Linked DNA regions of Nothobranchius furzeri. The main gene of each other region encodes a partner of the protein of the gene in region 3 in a complex. Links are inferred from orthologs where the notes say so. Each region holds a gene or a part of one and is shown on either strand. Other genes may lie near its edges.

Region 1 (4,496 bases), on a different chromosome or scaffold from region 3:
TCACCTTCTCACACACATTAAGATCACTATTAGACAGTTTGAACACAGGAAAGTTTAGCTTTTTATCTTGCTTGGTTCTACATATCAAGATAGCACTTTTAACAGCATTATACTGGATATCGTACTGCACACCATATTCAGAACAGATATTCAGGAGCTGCTGTAAACCAGCACTACTTGGACTGAAGACCACCAGGTCATCAGCATACAAATTAAATAAGATAGACAGAATTCCACCCTGCCTAACACCATTACTAACACCAAATGGTGCAGAGATGCTGCCACCCCATTTAACCTGCATCATCTGATGAGCATACCAGTAAGACAGGATTCTCACAATAACCCCAGGGACCCCCCGTAGCTTTAACTTAATAAAAGGTTTTCTGTGGTTTACACGATCAAAAGCCTTAGAAGCATCAATAAAACACATAAGGACAGAAGAAGTTCTATTTCTATACCGGTTCACCATTTCTTTAAGTGCGTATATACACATGTCAGTACCAAGTTTTGGCTTAAAGCCAAACTGATTATCCAAGGAATTAAGGTACACAGTGATTCTATCAAATATGATTATTTCTAGATAAAACACTGGCTAGTGCAATCGGCCTATAATTATCTATACTGGTCACCTTCCCAGATTTGTTCTTAATAACTGGGACAAGCAGAATTGCCATCATTGAGTCTGGTAGTATGCCATGAATCATAAACCCTGTAAAACAAAGAGCTAAAAGGGAAGCTAGCCTTAGGCTAGTATATTTCAAATGTTCTGCACTAATGTGATCCAGACCACAAGCCTTGTTATCAGCTAGTTTGTGAATAGCTTCATGCACCTCATGGGTCGTTAAACATCTATATGTTCATCATTAATAACAGAGCCATCCTCATACCGATCACTTTTTAAACAATTTTACATTGCATAATAATGTTGTCTCCATAATGCTGCAATATTATCTTTCCCATTGATCTGCTATTTTTTAAAAGTGCATTTTAATTAATTACTCCATAATTATCTTGTAATAAGCTGATGTTCCCTTCAGATAAGAAAATATAAGTCAATCATGCAGCTTTTCTATTTCATAACGAATCAAATTCTACAGTATAATATGTAAAAAGAAACTTTCTTAATTTACATAGGTGTGTGTGTGTGTGTGTGTGTGTGTGTGTGTGTGTGTGTGTGTGTGTGTGTGTGTGTGTGTGTGTGTGTGTGTGTGTGTGTGTGTGTGTGTGTGTGTGTGTGTGTGTGTGTGTGTGTGTGTGTGTGTGTGTGTGTGTGTGCAAATTATGTATAAATTATATATTTTTTCTTTTTCTTTTTCACCCTATGACAAGGCCCAGACAGACATAAATACATTTCTGAACAGATTGCTCTTATAAGACGTCTTGATATTCCTGGTAAATGTGAATATCTGCCATGACACTTTCTGCTGCTTCTCCGTAGACATGAATGTCTGTGTGCTACCCATCGACATGTGCATATACTCCAGGTGCCACCTGCAGCTTTGTCGTGTTTATAATAATATGCTCAGGCGTTCTCACATCCAGACCAGTAGGAGGCAGCAGCGGTTTAGTTAGCAGCAGCTAGCTCTTAGCAGCTAGTTAGCAAGGTGCGGCAGCGGAAAAGGAAAACAGACTGGTCTCCTCTCCGCGCTAGCGCAGCTTACGTACATTTTTATGTCGCGGTTTTTATGAAGACGTACACTAGATTTTACTGAGAACAAATATTGCGATTTTTTTAAGTAGCTTATTATATTTTATGAATTATTAGCCAGCACGTAAACAGATACTGGGTTGATCTGAAATATTTCACGCTAAACCGGAAAATCAATATCGCTAAGACGATAGCTAATGCTAGGATAGCTAGCGGGTTAGCTCTCCGAACTGAAAGACCTACCTTTGGCTGAGTTCATTTAGTAAACGACTGCAATGGCTGATGTTGACAAACTCAACATAGACAGTATTATTCAACGTCTTTTAGAAGGCAAGTATGTTCATAAATGTTGTACATTTACACAAATTTTGACGCTTTACAAACAGGCAGCGCATTATATCATGAAACCCGTTTGCTAATGTTTTCCGTTATTATTGGTTTTACTCCCGAATTGACATCTAATGTGTTTTAATTGTAAATTTTCAATATAATCAAATGACAATGAAAGATTTGTAAAAACAGTTACTAAACTATATTAACGTAGTTGCGCATACCGGCGCTAGTCCGCCTTTGCGTGACCTATGATTTTAGCCGCTGCTGCTGGCTTTTATTCCTTCTCATCTACAGTAGATGATCTACTATTATACATATGAACATGTTTACTATATTTTAAACCAACAAAATAAACTTCGTAACGCTTGTCCCGATAGAATATAATAGTATGATGATGCATCTCGTACAAATACGTATGTTACTTCCTACATTTCCAAACAAATACTGCATCAGGCACTGCTGACAAAGCAGCAATAGTTATGTTGTTTTTTTGCTGACTGATGTTTGTGTTTTCTCTGCAGTCAGAGGAGCAAAGCCTGGGAAGAATGTGCAGTTGCAGGAGAATGAGATTCGTGGATTGTGCCTGAAGTCCAGGGAGATTTTTCTCAGTCAACCCATTCTTCTGGAGCTGGAGGCCCCTCTCAAAATATGTGGTTAGTAAAAACCATCATTTTTTTATTTACTGTTGCTTATTAATAAACGTTTTTCTCTTCGAGCTAGATTCTACCAATTACATAAATGTCAACATTTGATTCCAAAGTTAAAAGCTTGCTTGTCCAGTTTTTGCAGGTGCATTATTTATTTATTTATTGCTGTTTGTTTTGTTTTGCAGGTGACATTCATGGGCAATACTATGACCTGCTGAGGCTGTTTGAGTATGGAGGCTTTCCTCCAGAGAGCAACTACCTGTTTCTGGGCGACTATGTGGACAGGGGGAAGCAGTCTTTGGAAACCATCTGTCTTCTGCTGGCCTACAAAATCAAATACCCAGAGAACTTCTTCCTGCTGAGGGGAAACCATGAGTGTGCTTCAATCAACAGAATATACGGTTTCTATGATGAGTGTGAGCAGCTTGCCATTTAATTGTGTCACTGTTTGGTCTCTTGTGTGAACTTGCAGCAGCTTTCATGTTGTTAAACGTTTACCCCGGGTTTCCACGGGAGCCGTCAGCAGCACGTTACTGCAGCAGCACGTCTTGCTCGCGTAAGCTGCTGCTTGGCCCTTCCCACGAGACGCGAAGCAGCAGGGGAGCAGCTGTCACCGACAGAGCACGAAGTCACACGAGTGACTTCGTCAGTAAACACAACAACAAGCAGGAGAAAACTACAACATGGTTTGGGTTTTATGTTCTGTCCGTTTTATAATGGCCAATACGGACCTGAAAACAAAGGAGACCGCTAGCTAGGTGATAACTTCTCATGGGGACGCACAGTTAGTAACCTTTTTTAAAAGTAAAGCAACCGGAAGGCAGTACGTTCTTTATTCTGAAAATCTCTGTAGCTTCTCTCCTTTTCCGCGTCAGATTTCCTGTCTTTCCTTCCCCAAAAATGTCGAACTTGACCCGTTTCAGAGGCGTCGCGCGTAGAAAATAGAACTGGCGCGTAAAGGCTGCGACATGCTGCTCCTGAGACGCGGCCGACTCGCGCTGCTGACGGCTCCTGTGGAAAGCCGGGGTTAGTGAAAACTTGAATTTTTGTTGCTGTTGTGCCTTCAAAATAAAAGCATAACTATTTGTCTTGTTTTAGGTAAACGAAGGTACAACATCAAACTCTGGAAGACCTTCACGGATTGTTTTAATTGCCTCCCTATTGCTGCCATTGTGGATGAAAAGATATTTTGCTGTCATGGAGGTGTGTTTTGTCTTTAACAGAATATTGATGTTTAATCAGAACGTTTATGTTGCCTAGTGGAAAGCAGCTCGTCAGAAGAGGCTTGGCTTTGACGTCAGCCGTTCTTATTTGTCATTGTGAAATGATGTTGACTGGTGTTTGCAGCGACCCATGTGAAGTAGGTCTGACCTCTGTATCAGTTTGTTTGTTTGTACAACTGCTGTGTTGTTGCTTTCAGGACTGTCACCTGACCTTCAGTCGATGGAGCAGATCAGACGCATCATGCGGCCCACGGACGTGCCTGACCAGGGCCTCCTGTGTGATCTGCTTTGGTCCGATCCAGACAAAGATGTTTTGGGCTGGGGCGAGAATGACAGGGGGGTCTCGTTCACCTTCGGCTCAGAGGTGGTTGCCAAGTTTCTGCACAAGCATGACCTCGATCTGATCTGCCGTGCTCATCAGGTAACTGTGCTCACACGGTGGTGCATGGACATCGCGTCCTGTGCTGGCAAACTGTAGACTAAAGAGGAGGCCAGGTGCTCTTCTTACATTATGATCCCGGTGGGAAAGGAGGATTGTTCCTCTCAAATGGAGGGAATAGAAGCTAGCTCTCATTCACTCCTCCATGAAGGTCCTGATAATGTAAACAGAGAAGCATAAAACAGGATGTTAGCTGCAGACTGAAA
Region 2 (4,170 bases), on a different chromosome or scaffold from region 3:
AGCGTCACTATCAAAATATGTTTACTGGGAAACCGCAGAAAAATAAATGGGCTCATCACATGAACAAACCAATTAGCTCAATCAGTTCTTAGCTATTTAACACTTCAAACACAATAAGCCTCACATCAAAGCGCTGAGCCTGGCAGAACATGGTGCAGCAAACTGAACCCGCAACAGGTCAGTCGGCCATGACACCTCTGCTTGCATCCGACTCCCAACTTGTCTAGTATCTATCTATCTAGCTTTCTGTGGTCATCCCATTTTCTCTTTAATTTTTGTTCACGAATGTAACGAGTGTGGGCTTTAGTTGTGCATCACAAGTACAAGCCTGCATGAAAAACTCCAAGTGACCAATTATACTCAGAAATAAGACTAAAAATGGTTGTTACAGTGTTTTACACCTTAATATTTCTAGATACTAACAATTTATATTTGAGCTTCATGAATAAAGACTATTTAAAGGTTGAATATGGAACAATTTAATAAAAATCTATATATTTTTCAAAATTAATACCCCCACAAGGCATTATGCTGAATGAAGGTACAGTACTTCCTTTGAAAGATATATTTTAATAAAAAAATCTAATAATAATATAGATTAAATATATATTCTGACAGGCACGACACTGGGTTTATGTTTACATCTACCAGCCAATAGAGGGCACCGCTGTGGGTTGCCAAACAGCTTGCTGCGCACAGCGAGGCTGGCATTGTGGAAAACGGACGACTCGGCAAGTCAAGCAGCTGCTTCTGAGCCCAGATGTCATTATCCTTCTCAGTGAGTGTAGGTGAAGCCTACAACAGACGGACCCAAATGAAAAATGTCACGTATCGGCAGTGAACCTAGCTTGCAGATGACTGGAAACCTTGTTCTATTGTTGCAACTTTAATCTCCACACACTAGCTGTTGCTGTGGTGTTCGTGTTCCATATTCCACCTTTAACTACTATTCTTGTGCAAGATGCAAAGATGGATGCAAACTTATTTTTTTTACTGGAGGTAAGCATGTAATGTAGATCTGACCCATCATTCATGTAATTCATTAAGTTTAAATTAATGCCCTCAAAGTGTTTGGTTATAGCAAACGGTTTTGATCACCAGAAATAAATTAATGCCTTTCACCAACTAAGTGTTTTACCCTTTAGTGAGTTTGTGTGTAATCTGTCAAATTCCATTGCTTGGTTCTTTTCTACAGCTTTTCTGTTTTTGTCCTGACAAGACCCAGTGGTTGGAGTTCTTTGGAGGTTGTGTGTGTGTTATCATTATGCCAACGTTGGATCAAATTATTACTTTTTGTGCACTTCAACCAGTGGGTCAGAAGTCCTTGAGACTGCTAAATTTGGGACCTGGAGCCCAAAGTGTTTGAATGTCTGGATTACAACAATTTCTTTTGCTTATGAAATCAAGTTCATGGTGAGAAGTTTTGTCTGCATTTGTTGCACTCAAGGCTCCTTGAGAATCAGGAGGGTTTTATTGTCATTTATGCGAGAATCCCATTAGGAAATTGGTGCAGTACTTGGAGCAAGAAAAAATTAATGATATGCTAAATTTTAAACGAATAAACACAATGAAATGACAATGTAGGGAGACAAAAATTAGTGAATCAGCTACGTTATACAAGTCAGTGTAGGTATTGGTCAGAGTGGGTCAGTTCAGGTGTAGGCACACCATAGGGTCATATGGTCCCGCTGCACAATCATATTGTGAAAGTTGAAATACTTGTAAAAGTCCTTATGTCCATTTAGAAATTGTATGAAGAGCACTTTTTCAGCCAATAAAGACAGAAGGAACCCACACCTTACACATGTGATAAAGACTTAAAATAGCACAATCTTAGTTTGTAAAAGGTAACTAAATGACTACAACCGATCTGTCTGTACAAACATTACCTTGAATCAGAGTAATGATCTTTTTACTTACAGAACCATTTCAAATCCTCCAACTACCAACAATGCTGCTCAAACCCAAAATATATAGTTTACATAAAATGATAAACAAGAAATGAAATGTCTACAGAAAAGGCTACAAAATAAAAAAAAAACATTTGGTTTACATCTGAAGACATTATGAAGTTCATACACCACTGTGTACAGTCATGCATTTGATTTAAATTAAGAACAAATAAAGAGAAACCGTGAGGATGGAGCCGGTTATCAGAGAAACTTGAGTAAAATAAAAACATTTTGTGTAAAAAATATCCAACTGCGGCGGCGGAGAAAAGAAACACAAAACAGCCACTTTATCGTGTCTTTAACCTTTTTTACTGGCCAACCTAGTTAACAGTTTACCACCATCTAGCATTTACAAGCTCACAAAAATATAATCTGCTACGTAACGGACAGAATATTTCTCACCTTCCAGGAGACGCTGAATTATAGAGTCGATGTTTAATTTGTCCGGCTCCGCCATTTTCTGTATTTTCTGACGTTATCGGGAAGTCGAGACCTTGGTTTTCACCTTATAATGAAAGAATAAAGACAACAAGATATGCGTGCCTGTTGTTAGTCATAAAATATGTCACCGCTCACATTTTGTTATTAACGAATCTACCGCGCTGATGAATCTAGCAACAGAGAATAATCAATGAGCTTAGCGGAGATCGAGCTAACGACGCCGCTAGCCAAATAGCATTAGCTACACTTTTTTTTTAAACAAACTTTATTGAATCCAGCCGAAGTAAGCTACAGATACACATTACTAGACCACGGATCGTTAGCTCTAGCAATGCATTAAATGTTTCCAGACCTTAGAGTGATGTCTACCCTGCTGTTACTTCAACCCTGGAACTTAAATATCTCTGAGTCGAATTGTGGCCGTTTTCCTCCTTTGTCGAGGTCGCGCAACTCTTCCCACCACCACCCCCCCACCAGGAACTTTAAAAGAAGGCCGTTTAAATCGAGCGTCTACTGTAACACGAGGGGCTGAATCAAACTTAAGACGTCACACATTTCTCGAATGATGATTGGTCTATGGAACATTTCAGAAGTCATTGTCGAATCCTATTGGTTGACTGCTGAATCTGTCCGAAAACGAGCCTCCGCCCCTTGTCTTTCACAACGGCTCAGATTTCTAACTCAATTTGCGCCACCACGTGTTCATATAGAAGAAATAACCAACTCAAATAGAAATCTAGTCAAAGATGTGGAAACACTGGTATTACAGTCTTTTTTAGGAGTTACTATATTGTATACTTTTCACACTACTGTTATTACTGTCTCTTGTTTTTGTTTTCATAATTGTTTTGTCTCTTGTGCTTTAGCCTGTCATGTTGTGCTAATTTCATTTTATCAAATCTGTACAATGTTTACTTATTTATTTTATTTCTCCACCTCTGTGAATTGGACTAAGAGTCTTTAAAGCCTGGTTCAAAAAAAAATTTTTTTAGGTTGATTAATAATAATTAAAGTAAAGAATTTGAGTCTCACAAAAACATTACGGCAAGTCTGATCACGTAAAAACAACAGTCACTTCCTGCTTCCTGTTCTCAAGTCCCGTGTGACGTGACTATCGTAGGGCTCTCCATGAAGCGCTCAGCGTTCCTGTGTGACTACTTCTCAAAATCTTGGGTGCAACGCGGCACGTCCGCCTCCGGTGTGCCCCAGCTAGATCTCCACAAGCAACCAGCATAACTAAAGCCTCACACCCAAGCGAGTTGGCTACCCCAGTCTCTGGAACCCTTCTTGAGTTACCTAAGTAAGTTAGTAGCTACACTGACTCATTTGTTCCAACCTGTTCCAACACTGTTCCAAACGTGACAGCCCCACCCTCAGCTCCACCTCTATTCCCATTTTTGGATTGTTTGGGCGTGACAAGATGTGTGACTCGGTCAAACAGGCAGTGGTGGGAACCTCCCATTTGGAAACAAAACCTTATAATTAATGCATATGAAAATTGAGTGCAGCTCATGAAAAATGGGAGCAAAAACAAGTGTTGCATTTATATTTTTGTTCAGTGCATATATTGGACATTTAAACATCTGAAATTTTGTCTACAAACACAAAAGATCCATGACTCTCAAATAGTGTTCTGAAATCTGTCTACGTGTAGTGAGCACTTTTCCTTTACCAAGATAATCCATCCTACCTCACAGGTTGTAGCATATCACAGGGCTGATTAGACAGCATGAATAATGTACAGGTGTGCCTTAGACTGCCCACAATAAAAGGCCAC
Region 3 (4,354 bases):
GCAGGTGATTAACAGGCTTCTGCAGAGCCTGGTGAGCTGCTGCACAGGTGATTCAACCACTGAATCAAGTGTGCTGGAGCAGAGAAACCACTAAAACGTGGTGGATACCGGCCCTCCAGGACCAGGATTGGGCACCCCCTGCCCCATGTTTTCTTCAGTTTGCTTCTTTTTAAAGTTACTTTAAAGTTATTTAAAGTTACTTTTTTCGTAACGTACGTGGTGCATTTGACAAGACAGCTGAAAACGGCTCGTGCTGCGTCAGTCACTGCCTCCTCTCCGGTCGGGTTTTTTTTTTCTCTCTCCTCATACTCAGGATCTGCTCCCTCTTTCCTATTCCACTCTGTCTCTTTCTTTACATTTTTTAATCACAACTGTCTATTTTTTGATCATTTTAAATATATTTGAATAATTTTCTAAATTCTTTTGTCTATTTTGCATGTTTTGTTTTTGTGAAGCGCCCCGTGATTTTTATCTTGAGAGGCGCTTTAGAAAAGATCTATTCTTCTCTCTCTCAATTCATGCACTTAAATATCAATGTTCTGATTTTATTGAAAAACTTGTTCTGTATTAGTTCCTTTACTATTGTGATCAAAAACATTTAATCTCAACTCTGATGCTGCTCTGTAAATAGTTTTCAAATAAACAATACACATAGCAACTTCTGATCAGACAAAATATAACGTATTGATGTAAACCACACCCACTTCCGGTTAACGTACACCCACTTCCTGGTTAGGCCACACCCACTCCGAGTACAGATACAGATAATTTATGGGCCATTCCCATCTGTACCGGGTTGGCCCGGGCCAGGTAGTGTAGGTTGTTTACATATCTGGGTGGCCTGGTATTTTTCCGGGGCAACCGAGGCTCACTCTCAGCCCTCTTCTCGAGGGCCGACCAGGGCCAACACACCCACTGCTGAAAGCAAATTCACACCTTCCATTAGAGCAAGCCTCTGATTGGTGGGTAGAATCAGCCCACATGGGCTTAAGGCAAGGATGTGTGGAATCAACCGGGCCAGGCTGGGGCCGACTGGGGCTACCCGGCCCGGGCCGACCCGGTACAGATGGGAATGGCCCAATAGATGGTAGAACAGATACAGATACAGATAGTGGTGTACTCGCTCATCCCTACCAAAGAATTATGTGTATTTTCTTCAACAATGTAGGCTGAACTGCCTCATTGACAGATTTCCTTACAGGTCCTTCACACTGGAGGCATCAGTGGCATGAAATGGCATTGGAATGGTTTACTAGCATGATTTGCTGCGCGCCAGTCCACAGCGGGAGAGTCTCAGCCACGGAGCGGCTGTTTAATGTCATATATATATATATAATGTTGTTCCTCTCCACTGCCAGGATTAAAGCCATGAAAAACACCGTTGCACTTCTCCAAAGATGCTAGGACTAAAAAAGCAGTTACGTCGCCAGTATTCACGTAATCTGCATGATATGAAATTGCATCGCTACAATAGTCTTATTTTGAAAATTACCAGACGTCTTACACTAAAACAGTGTGTGAATTCCTGTCTAGCCCCATGTTAAACTGCGGAAATTGATGTGTCCCAGAAGCAACTCGCAGCAAAAACAGAAATCAATCCCATCTTTGAGCGGGATGCGGTGCGTTGCTTCTGGGACGCATAAATTTCTGCGCATCACCCCCATAGACTATAATGGATTCTGTTTGAAGCAGCGACATTCTGATGCCTCCAGCGTGAAGCAGGCTTTGGCAATGACGATGTCATATTCATTGCTCCTATTGGTCCCAAAGTTGCCCAACTGCATGCAGTAACGTAGCTCTGTCTATGGTGGTGGCCAGACTATATATTTACACATATTGGACAGCCTGCCAGGCCAACATAACTCCTGAAAGGGGGAAACTCCAGATTTCCATTTAAAAATTATAAAAAGCTGAAAACAGCAAATAAATAAATAAATAAGGGCCAAAAAATAAAATATTGTACCACAATTGACAAAAGACTTTGTAAATTACATATCAATAATGTTTTCATATTTTACCTTGATGTATTAGGAGACAAGTCTGGCATTTTGTGGATCACAAGCTTAAGAGTTTTGGAAACGTTGTGTAATCCTGCGTGTAATTTAGTTGCACCTCCTCGTTCTAAGCAATGGAATAAATTGGATTAAGTTAAGATTAACATTCTGAAAATCAGATTATTTGTGATTAAACAACACCTAAATTTAAGATAAAAGCAATGCACTTTTTTTTCTAATGACATCAACATTTGCGTGACGATCCTGTGTAGCAGCTGGCCTTTTTGTGGAATAATGATGCCAGCGTTTCGCCTGCAGACAGAGAAATGATCTGATGATTTCACATTTCTATTAATAGGTCTTAATCTGGTGCTTCTGAGTGATCTCATGCCATGATCTGATGAAGAATCCCTCAGTGTCGTCCTCCTCACATCCAGCTTCTCAGACGCCGCTGGTGTGAATGGCAGGGCTAAATGAAGGGTTTTCCCTGATCGTTTCTGACAGAACTGGGTTTTTTCGACCCCATGGGCGATTTTGACACGCAGAAAAGCCAAGGCCCGCTTGTGTGAGCAGCCGATGGAAAACAAGACAGTAGCCGCCCCCAAATAACGGACCTGAACTGCTTCATGGTTTTCTTCCAAGATTAGAAAACAAACAACCCGTTAAATTAAAACAACTCGTCCTCTCTGACCGGTTAGCTAGCTGTCATTAGTGGAAGGCGCTTGAGTAAGTTACTGTTCCTGAGATAGAGGGAGAGAGACAGAGCGGACCGGGATTTTAAGACATTCGTGAACGAGCTAATTCGTTTGACCGAGCGGGCCAGCTACTTACTTACCGGAATGAACTCCTCTACGGTGAAAGAAACGTCTTCACACCGACATGCTGCTCCTCCTCATCGCCGCCGCCCTTTAAACGGCACAGAGAGACGGGAGCGAGCTGCCCACATCTGCCAAACAATGCAGCGAGTAGCTAATCTTTGTATTGCAATAGTTGATACTATATATAGAAATGCCTCGGAGGGGGGAAACCCGTTTCTAGTGACAATATTAAACAGAATAAAGTGGCTTTTGGTTAAAGTTTCATCTTCGAATGCATTTAATTCTGAATTTAACAAAATGGAGTATGTTTCCAATGCTTAAGTTTTATATATTTCTTTAATAAACGGGAAAAAGAAATCACCGATTTCCCCCTTTTTAGAAAAATGGGCTATTCCTACGAGTAGCGAACGCCGTTAAAGGGATAGTAGCTAATTAGCATTTCCAATAAAAGAGGGTATTGACAGATAATTTGGTTGATATTCTGGGTCATATGTTTATTTTACTTCTATTTTTATTTGATTTCCAATACAGAAGTGTCTAATTGATTTTTACATTATATTTTTAAGCTCAAAACATTGTTTAGCTATTTGGCACTTGCTAGTTCTTCTATCATTATCATCATTTATTCAATATGAGGAAACCTACTGGTGGAAAAACATGTACATTACTGGAAACATAATTAGCCACATACAGGCAGCACTTTCCAGAAACCACAATAATGATGCTTTTTGTCAGCATGAACTCTCGGTGGCAACTTAAAGCCACATATGACTGAAGCAAACATTCAGGAATGTGGATAGCTCATGTATAGTGTGGATGTACTGATACATTATTCATGGACACAAATATATTAGAAAGTGTTCCGGCTATTTTCATAAGAAACAAAATTAAGGGAAAACGTTTAAATGTGGAATTGTAAAAAAAATACATCTGCACATTAATAGTAGATTTAAAAAAAATTTTGGTTAGTTTATTTTAACAGAAGGGCATATAGCTAAAAAATGTTTAAAAATAATTTGTTCAAATTTTGGAAAAGGGGGTTAGATATGCATTTTACCTATTTAACTAGGTCTAATAATTACACATTAATCGTTTCCCTGCTCCTGTTTTAGTAATGGGAAACGACTTATTGAAAATTATGTCTCTCTTTATGCAGTATTATCCATAAAATAGGATCTGAATATTTGCTGAATCAAAATTCATGCAAAAAAGTAAAATATAGAAAAGTGAAAGAGGTATTAGTTGATAGAAATTAACCAGTGCGATCATGTTTGTAAATGAGAAGTGGTTCTCAAACGGTTTTCCTGGATAAATAAAGGTTAAATAAAAAGAAATCCAGGCAGACCGTATCGACCATTTTGGTACAGTGCGTGCCATCAGAAATATTGCAGTTTTTTTTCCTTAAGTTATTTTTTTCTCCACCTTTATCTTATCTCAGAAAGTCATTCCATCTAACAAAAATTGTTTTGGGGAAAAATACACTTAGTTACTCATTCAAAATAAGGGAAAAGTCATACAGAGGAATTAATTTGACTCCTAATG

Evidence for each region. The genes of interacting proteins can lie anywhere in the genome.
Region 1: the proteins of mrasa (region 3) and ppp1cc are in contact, whole or in part, in a cryo-EM structure (PDB 7SD0), measured with the Homo sapiens proteins. The link is inferred for Nothobranchius furzeri from reciprocal best matches to the Homo sapiens genes MRAS and PPP1CC. Residues at the interface, in NP_001078518.1 of Homo sapiens: Ala5, Ile31, Gln35, Lys36, Ile37, Val39, Asp41, Glu47, Asp48, Ser49, Leu51, Lys52, His53; in NP_002701.1 of Homo sapiens: Pro178, Asp179, Gln181, Gln185, Arg188, Ile189, Met190, Thr193, Asp194, Pro196, Gln198, Leu201, Trp216.
Region 2: the proteins of mrasa (region 3) and ppp1caa are in contact, whole or in part, in a crystal structure (PDB 7TXH), measured with the Homo sapiens proteins. The link is inferred for Nothobranchius furzeri from reciprocal best matches to the Homo sapiens genes MRAS and PPP1CA. Residues at the interface, in NP_001078518.1 of Homo sapiens: Val6, Pro7, Ile31, Gln35, Lys36, Ile37, Val39, Asp48, Ser49, Tyr50, Leu51, Lys52, His53; in NP_002699.1 of Homo sapiens: Pro178, Asp179, Gln181, Gln185, Arg188, Ile189, Met190, Pro192, Thr193, Pro196, Asp197, Gln198, Trp216, Gly217, Glu218, Phe225.

What each region holds. Positions count from the first base shown.
Region 1 is NC_091757.1:28,392,166-28,396,661, reverse strand, and holds the start of ppp1cc (serine/threonine-protein phosphatase PP1-gamma catalytic subunit A), read left to right. Parts: upstream 1-1,614; 5' UTR 1,615-1,923; coding exon 1,924-1,978; intron 1,979-2,502; coding exon 2,503-2,634; intron 2,635-2,813; coding exon 2,814-3,044; intron 3,045-3,726; coding exon 3,727-3,831; intron 3,832-4,048; coding exon 4,049-4,272; intron 4,273-4,496. UniProt on the Homo sapiens protein: Protein phosphatase that associates with over 200 regulatory proteins to form highly specific holoenzymes which dephosphorylate hundreds of biological targets.
Region 2 is NC_091745.1:8,628,330-8,632,499, forward strand, and holds the start of ppp1caa (protein phosphatase 1, catalytic subunit, alpha isozyme a), read right to left. Parts: upstream 2,883-4,170; 5' UTR 2,746-2,882; intron 2,458-2,745; 5' UTR 2,410-2,457; coding exon 2,355-2,409; intron 1-2,354. UniProt on the Homo sapiens protein: Protein phosphatase that associates with over 200 regulatory proteins to form highly specific holoenzymes which dephosphorylate hundreds of biological targets.
Region 3 is NC_091754.1:14,865,495-14,869,848, reverse strand, and holds the start of mrasa (ras-related protein M-Ras), read right to left. Parts: upstream 2,967-4,354; 5' UTR 2,830-2,966; intron 1-2,829. UniProt on the Homo sapiens protein: Signal transducer in the Ras-MAPK signaling pathway that regulates cell proliferation and survival. Core component of the SHOC2-MRAS-PP1c (SMP) holophosphatase complex that regulates the MAPK pathway activation.